Caenorhabditis elegans: one gene and its partner. The protein of the gene in region 2 interacts with the protein of the main gene of each other region in a pairwise test. Each region holds a gene or a part of one and is shown on either strand. Other genes may lie near its edges. The genes, in order: fbxa-196 and madf-2.

Region 1 (3,911 bases), on a different chromosome or scaffold from region 2:
CCTAATCTAGTGTCATTAGATATTTCAAACAATAAGTGAGTTTTTGATAGGTGCCTAACTTTACGATTTTTAGCAAGTTCTATACTCTTTAGCTATTAAAGTTTCAAATTTGTAGACTTGCGTCTTGTGCATCTTTGAAGCCTCTCTGCGAATGCAAGACTCTGGAAAATTTGGACTGTAGGAACAATTCAGTAACGGAGAGAAGGGTTTATGTTGATTTTATCAAAGCACAGGTTCCATCTGTTAGAAAACTAGATGACGAGATTATGAGCAATGAAATTGAAATTACGAAACGAAGATTGTCTCGAGCAAATGATTTGATCTCGATGAGCAGAAGAAGCAGGTACTTACAATTAGGAATATCTGATATTATGACTCTTTTTACACTACACAATTTCAGTATGGTGACCTCGTCGATGCTATCTTGGTTCGAGAGAGAAGAGGGTGAAACTCTGGAAAACGTGAAAAGGGCTTCAAGTTTTCTAGAACCAAGTGCAGCTGAAACCCCCATGAGACCACGACGGCTTGAACCTCTTCCCGGAAGACGTAAAACTAATAGTGAAAGCAATGGATTAATGTTGTTAGGTACAAAGTAAGTGATTTTATATATTAGTTGAGAGATTATGAAATGTTTCTAAATTCGTTTTTGTTCATTTTCAGAGCTGTGCAACATCGCAAGTAAAAGGCCCAATTATGTGGAGAGTCTGTCGAATATATTTTTTTCTAAACTATTATTATCATTTTTCAACTAAATATAAATACTATCTGAATAAGTCTCATGATAGGTATTCAAAAGTTAGTAGTGCCTACCTTACAATAAGAGTAACTACGGTAGTTGTCTGAGTCTATTTTGGTCAGTGTTCTTCAAAATGTAGAATTTTGGAAACATCATTTGAAATTTCGATTTGATCTTACAATCAGTTCAATATAATACCACTTTTGGGGTTTTCACAGGAATTCTGCAGACAGTTTTATTGGGAACTAGTTCAGAGCAGAGGTGGGCGGATATTTTTTCGGATATTTTCTAATAATGAATTTATCAATAAGTATTGATGTAGTTATTCTGGAAAAAATGTATCCGAACAAAAGAGTAACTATTAAGAAACATTTTAATATGATAAAACCTAGAAAAATTCTACAAGTTTTCTGTATAAACGATATGCAAGTCCATTATCCGATATCCGTAATATCCGTAATATCCGATATCCGATGTTGCTCGGCTAATAAGTTTTAAGGTCTCGGTAAGGAAAACTTGTAGAATTTTTCTAGGTTTTATCATATTAAAATGTTGCTTAATAGTTACTCTTTGGTTCGGATACATTTCTTCCAGAATAACTACATCAATACTAATTGATAAATTCATTATTAGAAAATATCCGAAAAAATATCCGCCCACCTCTGGTTCAGAGTAAAAATCCATTGTTAACCATAGGAAATGCACTGGATTCTATACTGAATTTTCAGATGAAAATTTTCAGACTCACCGTGTGTTTAGCAGGAATGATTTACAGATTCTAAAAGCCCAATTTGTCAGAAGATATAACATGTTCAACTTATTTCTTATCATACCACACGGTTACATAATTCCCTAGTAGGCTATAAGGTAATGCAGGTTTCACCCCACTTTATTTATTTCGGCATTATCACTTTTTTTTTCAATAAATATCACTTTTTAATTTCACGTTTTTAAAAAAATAGTGAAATAATTAAAACATTTTAGAAAGCCAAATTTTAAGTGAGCGTGAAACGAAAAAAAAAACCGCCCATGAAATTTCAAATTTATTTATTTCTTGATACTTCGCCAGCTCTACGAAGTTTTTCCAAATCGTCAAAATGTCCGATTCACCAAGAAGCGACGAAGAGGATCTCAGTGAAGGTTCGGACAGCTCAGTATCACTGCATCAGTAAATTTTTCACTATATTATGCTACGTGGATCTCTTTTATTGAATTGTAATTTCAAACAACTGCCAACGTAGCAAAAACTAAACTGTATGCTGTTATGAAAAGTTTTATTCAAATTTTAGAATCGATCCCAAAATTCAATGTATCGTCACGGACCCACGTGCAGTGCGAATCTTGATTCTACATCAACATCTTCAAGGCATTCCAGTTTTCAATGCATATAAAGCAATGAACAAGGTATTTGGAGATCACTTTATGGAATACCGACACTTTGAATATTGGTATATGGGACTTGCAAATGGGAGTTTAACCGTAGACTCTTATGATAGGTTTGTGTTTTTTCAATGAACATAATATCACAGTACCTTTTATAGATTTCATACATCAGAGAGAAAAGAGTTCACCGACTTTTCAACCTACTTCCAAGCAATGATTCTGGATAAACTGAATCCAATTGATCGGTAAGAATTGATTGTATTTTTGTTTTGTAAATACAAAATCTTCAGGTTTGCTGCACGCGCAGTTTGCCGTGGTTTTAAGTCTATGATCGATTATCAACATTCTAACCTGAAAACGATGACTATGTATCTAGAAGAGAAAAGCGTTGGATTGAAGACAAACGGTGGCTACGTGACCTATGAATTGGAGGATGAGGACTGTCAAGTGAACTATAAGAAACGGAAAATGATTGTTAAGGATAAGAAACCATTGGAGGTTGCTATGAAGGATGTATCAAGACTTTTGAAGATCAGAGGATTAGATATGGATTACTTCGCAATTATTATGACGGAAATTATGGAAGAAGAGTTCGTTTCATTTGATGCTATTAACGACGTTCTTAAATCAATTGGAATCCTGTCGGCAAAATCAGTATTGCTCGATTGGTTTCACACTTTTGAAATTACTGTACTTCTGAAATACTTTAAGCCTGGAATCCTGGAGGACTTAACAATTAAATGTCTTGAATCCGATGAAGAGTTCACAGGAAATCTGGTGTACCTGGAACAGTGGAAAAAGGCAAAGAATCTGAAATTGTCTAAAGTCCCAAATTTTCCAATTATCGTCGAACATCTCGATAACTTCAAATCTTTGAACTTCGACTTCCATGGGGAACCTTTCTCAAGAGATGATATCATGAAGCTTCGAGATGTGAGTTTCCTTTCATATATCAATTTTCCCAAATAAACTTTCAGGAGGTTCTTCTAAAATCAACCAAGTTTGAATACTTTTCTTGTAAAAATGTGAAATTCAACACAAAAATGTTCGTGAAAGTTTTTGATGCTCGCTCAACTCTATTTTGTTCGTCTGGCTCAATTGTTTATGAATCGTCCAATGGAATATTCGATATTGCTTATCATCCGAATGGGTTCAACATTAAGAAGAAAATTGACTCGCAAGTTTGAACTCGTGAATATTAGGATAATAAATTATTTATCATTTATCAAACTATTTCAGTGTCGAAATATACCACATTTTCAAAAATAATGGAATTGAATTAAAAATATAATCATACCGTATCCATTCAAAACTTCCTGAGCGTTGCGAGACCTGTCCACAAAAGAACACCTCCCTCCAAATTTGGCTACTGTCTTGCTTCATTTTTCATACTGTTTTTTTGTTTCTTTTTCGTTCTTTTTCAGCCTTGGTCTGTTTTTTCCTTTTCACCTCCTTATTCTCTCTTTTTCATACACAAATAGCAAGAGAATAAGATGATAGAAGAGACGCAGAGTGCGAAAGGACGGAGCCTCGTTGCCCGCCGAACACTGAGGTTTATTGACTTTTCTACTGCTTTTCGAGCTGCTTTCGCGGAAAAAAAGATTGAGCTTTCTTTCGAGAGCTTTCGACTGTGCTTCTCGACTAAAAATATCGAAATACAACTTTTAGTTTGTCTTGCTAGCCTATCTTTTTGAAAATAATTTGTCAGGAAGCTGAATTGGGAAGAAAACGGAATAGTTAAAAATTTTACCTGTGATTTGTGCGATTATACGCATTTTTAACCATGTGTCTC
Region 2 (6,333 bases):
TAAAATTCAGTGTTTCGGTATAGTGTTTGCCAAAATCGGACCTACAGTAACCCAAAAATTTAAAAATTGTAATTGTTGCAATTTGAACTAAAAATTTGAAATCAGCGTATCTTGTTTACCCTATCCGTGATTTTTTAGAGTTCTAGTGCAAAAACCCGTGAAATTCAGGGTTCCGGCGGTGTTTGCACGAAATCGGGCCTACAGTAACCCGGAAATCTCCAAAAACCTGCTAGAGCTCTCAAAATTGCGGCCTAGAGGTAAAATACAGCGCTGAATTCAAAAATTTTAATGATTTTCGCCAAAAATTTCAAATTTCAGCTAAAACTAGCCTACCATCTCATTATCACCGAAATCTTTCTTAGCTCTCACAGTCCATAGAGGTCGGGATTTTGATGTCAACTCGACAAGCGTGGCTTCAGCGCTTTCCGTCCATTTTGTAGGCATTTTGGCTGAAAATTTGCTGAAAATTTGCTTAAACTAGAGAAAAATTGAAGAAAATCAAGAAATTTCACCGTTTTGAACAGAATTCTGGAAAAAAACTTTAAAAAATTAGAAAAAAAAACAATTAAAAATATTTTTTGCAAGTTATCAATTAACAATAATTATAGGTAATATCACAAAAAATTATCAAATTTTTTTTTTCATTTGAAATTCGTCATCAAAATGGCTCGAAATCTTGGCATTTGTCGGAGGAAAATTGTGCAAACAAATCGATAATTTATTCGTCTAGGAACAGAGCATCGTAAAGCCGGCGTTGAACTCGCAGAGCATTCATCCGACCTTGTTCATTGGCTATTCTGAAACAGAAAAAAATTATTAGCCAAAGCGGGGGGTCGAACTTTGGTGCTGTGAGTGGAAGTTGAGCTTCTACCCAGTTGAGCCACTTGCCCACTTGAATTTTTTTCGAGTTTTTCAAAATTTTAAAAACTTTTTCGACTCAGAATTTTACGCTAAAAACGATTTTTCATGTGAAATTCTGGAAAAACAAACCTCCGCAAATTCGCGGCAACCATTGCTCCAAAATGATCAAATTCGTCTTGATGGGCGACTGGCGGAGTGGTAATAACTTGCATCGGCTGAATATTGGACACCTGGCGGCGGCATGACTAAAATTTCAAAGTTTTTGAAAGAAATTTATAAATTTAGGCAAAATACTCGGGGTTACTGTAGATCAAAAAGTGTGCAATCGAATTTTTTTGTAGTTTTGAGGAATATCTCAGTAAAATCAATAGGATTTTTGAATTCAGCATCAAAAATTAGTCCTGGGGCTCAGTTTTGAGAGCTCTAGCAGTTTTTTTAAATTTTTGGTGGGTTACTGTAGCTCCGAAAGTGTGCAAACACCGAATTTCACGGATTTTTGCACAAAAACTCTGAAAAATTACAGGTATGGTGAACAAAAAACGCTGTTTTCGAATTTTTGACTTAAAATTTTTCTAAAAAAAATAGGGACCTAAAAAATTTAGTTGTTTTCTTTTTTCTGGGTTACTGTAGCTAGAAAAGTGTGTGCAAACGATATTTTGCACTAAAAACTTGAATTCCGAGTAATTTAATGACGCCAAATTCAAATTTTTTATCGAAAACTACTCCCGACTTCTCACTTCCAAAATATTACCTTCTTCCTGCCCGGCTGCTCATCCTCATCTTCCAGCTCCTCTTCCAACCCACTTGACGACCCATTTGGGCTTCTAGTCGGACTATAGTGAACGCCACGTTTTAAAGACGTGGATGACGTCACGAATGTTGATGATGACGTCATTTTTGGTTCATTGGAGCACGTAGCAATCTGTGAGGAGTCAATCATCGACTGTTGTGATAATTGCGGTGGAGGTTGATTATTGAACATTTGGAACATTTTCTCCTCAGTTGATGTGGGCTCATAGGAGATTTGTGCTCTGAAAAGTTTAGATTTAAAGAAAAATTGGTGGCCTAGAAATTGGAAAACTTCGGCCGTGAATTTTTATGAAAGTTTTTTTTAGTTTTTAAACCACTCAAAAATGTTGATTCTCCGCCGAGGTATAGCTCAATAAAGTTGCTGGCCTAGTTTTGGAATTCTAGGCCATATGTACCTGAAAACTAGGCTACCGTGGTATTTTTATTTCAATTTTTGAAAAAAAATTGAGAAAAAAGAAAAAAAAAATTTTTCAAATTTTTTCAAACTCTTGTAACTTGTTCAATTTTTGCCCGTTTTTGCAAATTTTTATTACAAAATTAAGCTAATTGTTTAAATTTACAACATTTTAAAAGTTAGCCAAAAAAAAAGTCTTCCGAATTCTGAAAAAAATTGAATTTTTTTTTTGTTTTTTGAAAAAAAAAATTATTTTGGATTTTTGACTTTTTTTTTCAAACCCTTGTAACTTTCTCAATTTTCGTTTTTTTTCGGAGTTTTTTTGTCACAATGACTCAAATTTTCTGAGTTTTAACGTTTTTTTTTACAATTTGACGGTTGGGTCCCCCCACGAAAAGGAGTACTGTAGTTTTCGTGTCGGGAGCCAAAATAGTCCAAACCTAGTCATGATTTTACGTAAAAAAAAAAGCTCCCGATAAACTGATTACGAATTTTATTGTTTTAAAATGTAAAACTGAAATTTCCATGAATTTTTAAGACTTTGGGTCCTACCACGAAAATGAAAGAGTACTGTAGTTTTCGCGGCGGGACCCAAAAAAGTCTAAACCTAGCCATGATTATACTTGAATGAAAGCTCTCGGTGAACTGATTACAAATTTTATTCTCTAGAAATTAAAAATTGAAAAATCATAAAGTTTTGAGACTTTGGGTCACGCCACGAAAAGGAATACTGTAGTTTTCGTGGCGGGACCCAAAATAGTCAAAACTTAGTCATGATTATACTTAAATGAAAGCTCTTGTTAATCTCTATTCAAATTTTTGCGTAAAATCCAAAAAAGCACAAACCTCTGCCCACACGACGTGGAATTCGGGGCCAACTCATAGGTGTGCTCACACGTGTCGCCGAGCCTTTTCGCCTCCTTCTCATCTAGAAAAGTGAGCATTCTATAAAATTTCCAAGTGGGCTCTTTCATCGCGTCTTCCATATATTTTCCCTCGTGAACCCATCGGAGCTTCCGTACAAATGTGTCTTTTAGATTTTTCCACTGAGATCTGACGTCTTCACACGTGAATTTTATGGGCATTTGAAACATTGAATTGAGCTCTGACGTCACTTCACGGAGGCAGGAGGTCTGGAAACGGAGAAAATCGATAATTTATTGATTTTTTAAGATTTTTTACTTTATTTTTTTGAAAATTCTGCAATTTTCTTAAATTTTAACATTTTCAAAAAAGTTTTTATTTTTTATTTTTTTTGAATTTAAATATTTTAAAATTTGCCAAAATATAACTTATAATTTTATTGAATTTTGGAAAACTTTTTAAATTCTACAAAAAAATCTGGCTAAATTTTTTTTCAAACTCCTTAGCTTTTCAAGTTTTAAACAATGTTTGGCAATTTTTTTGTCAAAAAAGGGAAATTTTTGAAATTTTACAATTTGAAAGAGTTTGAGATTAGAATATCACCAAAATTATGAAAAAAAAATATTTTTTTTTTTGGAAACTGTTTTTTTAAATTTTTTAAATATTTTGCAAACCCGTAACTTTTTCTATTTTCAACAATTTTTGGCATTTCTTTTTTCAAAAAAAGGCCAATTTTTAGCAGTTTCAATATTAAATAAAATTTCAGATCACAATCTTGTAAAAGTTTTGAGAGAAATATATTTTTTTGGAAACAAATTTTTTTAAACCCCGTAAGCCTCATTTTCAACAATTTTTGGCAATTTTTTTTTGTCAAAAAAGACTAATTTTTAGAAATTTAAAAATTATATAAAATATATAATATCATAGGATAACTTTTTCTAAAGTGTTTTATTTTAACTCTGCAAAAAATTTGTGTTTTCTACTAAACTTTAAAATTGTTCAATCCTCTGTAAGTTCCTCAATTTCCAACATTTATCAAAGATTTTTCTACCAAAATGACCCAAATTTCCTGAACATCAACCACATACCTTCAAAGTTCTATAATTACTTTCTCCAAAATAATTCTTATCCCAAATGACTGGCCGGTTCCGAATGGCATTGATGAGGCACTGACGGGATGGATCCGTCCATTGTGCCATTTTTCTGAAAAAATTAGGTTTTTTTTTGTTGGAAATAGGTAATGGAAATATGATAATAAAAAAAATAGGAAAAAGAAAAAAATTAATAATTAAAAAAATTCGAACATTTTTGAAAAGATTTTTTTTTGGAAATTAATTTCCCTCGAATTTTTTATAATTTGCTAAAACTTTCAAATCAGAAGAACTGATATTTTCTTACTAAATTTAGATTTTTATAGAAAGTTTTCAATAAAAATCTGGTAGAAATTGTGATAAAATGCACAAAAAGTCCGAGTTTCTGGTCGTAAAAATTTGAATTATAGATAATTAAAAAATTAATTTTTGGAAAAAATTTTTGGGAAAAAAATTTGAAAACATTTTTTTTTTGGAAAAATTTAATTTTCTTCTAAAATTCAAAATTTGTATAGGCAATTAATTTTCAGATAATTCAAAAAAATCAAATTTTAATGTTTTATTCTAGAAAAAAATTACCCAAAATTTAGTCAAAATATCCAGAAAAAACCGCAGTTCCGCTAAAAAAATTTTTTGCAAAAAAATCCGGTTTTTCCGCTAAAAATTTTTGCACAAAAAAAACCTATTTCTCGCCAAAGGAATCTTTGAAAAAACCAAATTTCCTAGTCGTAAAAATCCCGAATTTCTCATTAAAATCAACAAAAACTCTCGAAAATTTCGATAAAAACGCCTAAAAACGTGGCAAACACAGGTGGTGGCAAAGAGATGTGCGACCGCGACGCGTCGCTGTCGCGCGTCGCGTTTCTCTGCGTCTCGGCCGTCAGGCACACTGTCTCAGTGTGTGTCTGCCGCGACAGCGACTTGACTGGGGGGACTCTCCGTGTTCGGTGTGCTCTCTCGCGGGGGGGGGGGGGTACCCCGTTCGGGTTAAGGAGGGAGGGAACCGCCCGTGTTTTTCACTTTATGTACATTATGTATTTCATCTTTGATGATTATTCCTCAAGTGTCAGACGGCCCGAAGAAGCTAGCCGGGGGCCGGGAGTGGGTTACGGTAACGTAATTTTTTGGAAAATGTAGGAAAATGTAAGACAATGTGTACCAAACCCCAAAAAATTTTTTTTGGTCATTGGAATTTCCTGAGAAAGCAAAAAGAAAAAAAACAATATGAGAATTTGACATTGAAAATTGCTCACCAAAAAATTTTTTTTTGGAAGGTAGGCTAGGGTTACTATACAAGAAACCTACGATTACAGAAAAAAGTAAAATTCACAAAAAAAACCTATAATTATTAATTTTTGTCACTGGAAACACCCAAAATTGCTCAAAAAAATCCAAAAGAAGGCGATAGGCCTGGGTAACGTTACCAGAAGCCTAGAAATACGGAAAAAAATCTGTAAAATGAAAAAATCTTGTGAATTTATTAATTTCGATCACTGGAATATCATGAAAAAAGCAAAAATTTGGAAAAAATCAGGAATTTGACAAAATTGCTCGCCAAAAATTTATGGTTAAGTTAAAATTGCCAAGAAATGCAGTGGAATTTGACACAGAATATTTTCCAAAATTTTTCCCAGAAAATTTGAATTCCCGCCAAAATTTTTCTCACAAAATTTGAATTCCCGCCAAATTTTTTCTCACATAATTTGAATTCCCGCCAAAATTTTCTCAAAAAATTTGAATTCCCGCCAAAATTTTCTCAAAAAATTTGAATTCCCGCCAACATTTTCTCAGAAATTTAGAATTCCCTCCAAAATTTTTCTCAGAAAATTTGAATTCCCGCCAAATTTTTTCTCACATAATTTGAATTCCCGCCAAAATTTTCTCAAAAAATTTGAATTCCCGCCAAAATTTTCTCAAAAAATTTGAATTCCCGCCAACATTTTCTCAGAAATTTAGAATTCCCTCCAAAATTTTTCTCAGAAAATTTGAATTCCCGCCAAAATTTTTCTCACAAAATTTGAATTCCCGCCAAATTTTTTCTCACATAATTTGAATTCCCGCCAAAATTTTCTCAAAAAATTTGAATTCCCGCCAAAATTTTCTCAAAAAATTTGAATTCCCGCCAACATTTTCTCAGAAATTTAGAATTCCCTCCAAAATTTTTCTCAGAAAATTTGAATTCCCGCCAAATTTTTTCTCAGAAAATTTGAATTCCCGCCAAATTTTTTATCACAAAATTTGAATTCCCGCCAAATTTTTTCTCACAAAATTTGAATTCCCGCCAAAATTGTTCTCACAAAATTTGAATTCCCG

Evidence for each region.
Region 1: the proteins of madf-2 (region 2) and fbxa-196 interact in a two-hybrid assay, tested with the Caenorhabditis elegans proteins (one large-scale study listed by BioGRID).

What each region holds. Positions count from the first base shown.
Region 1 is NC_003283.11:6,446,875-6,450,785, forward strand, and holds fbxa-196 (F-box domain-containing protein), read left to right. Parts: upstream 1-1,781; 5' UTR 1,782-1,833; coding exon 1,834-1,904; intron 1,905-2,025; coding exon 2,026-2,232; intron 2,233-2,277; coding exon 2,278-2,364; intron 2,365-2,409; coding exon 2,410-3,052; intron 3,053-3,096; coding exon 3,097-3,306; 3' UTR 3,307-3,343; downstream 3,344-3,911. Other genes in the region: T05H4.3 (U2A'/phosphoprotein 32 family A C-terminal domain-containing protein), read left to right, coding at 1-35, 116-343, 401-592, 661-682.
Region 2 is NC_003279.8:11,275,887-11,282,219, forward strand, and holds madf-2 (MADF domain-containing protein), read right to left. Parts: upstream 4,133-6,333; 5' UTR 4,129-4,132; coding exon 4,018-4,128; intron 3,199-4,017; coding exon 2,912-3,198; intron 1,893-2,911; coding exon 1,613-1,892; intron 1,107-1,612; coding exon 991-1,106; intron 798-990; coding exon 719-797; 3' UTR 560-718; downstream 1-559. Other genes in the region: F36D1.9 (MADF domain-containing protein), read right to left, coding at 334-444.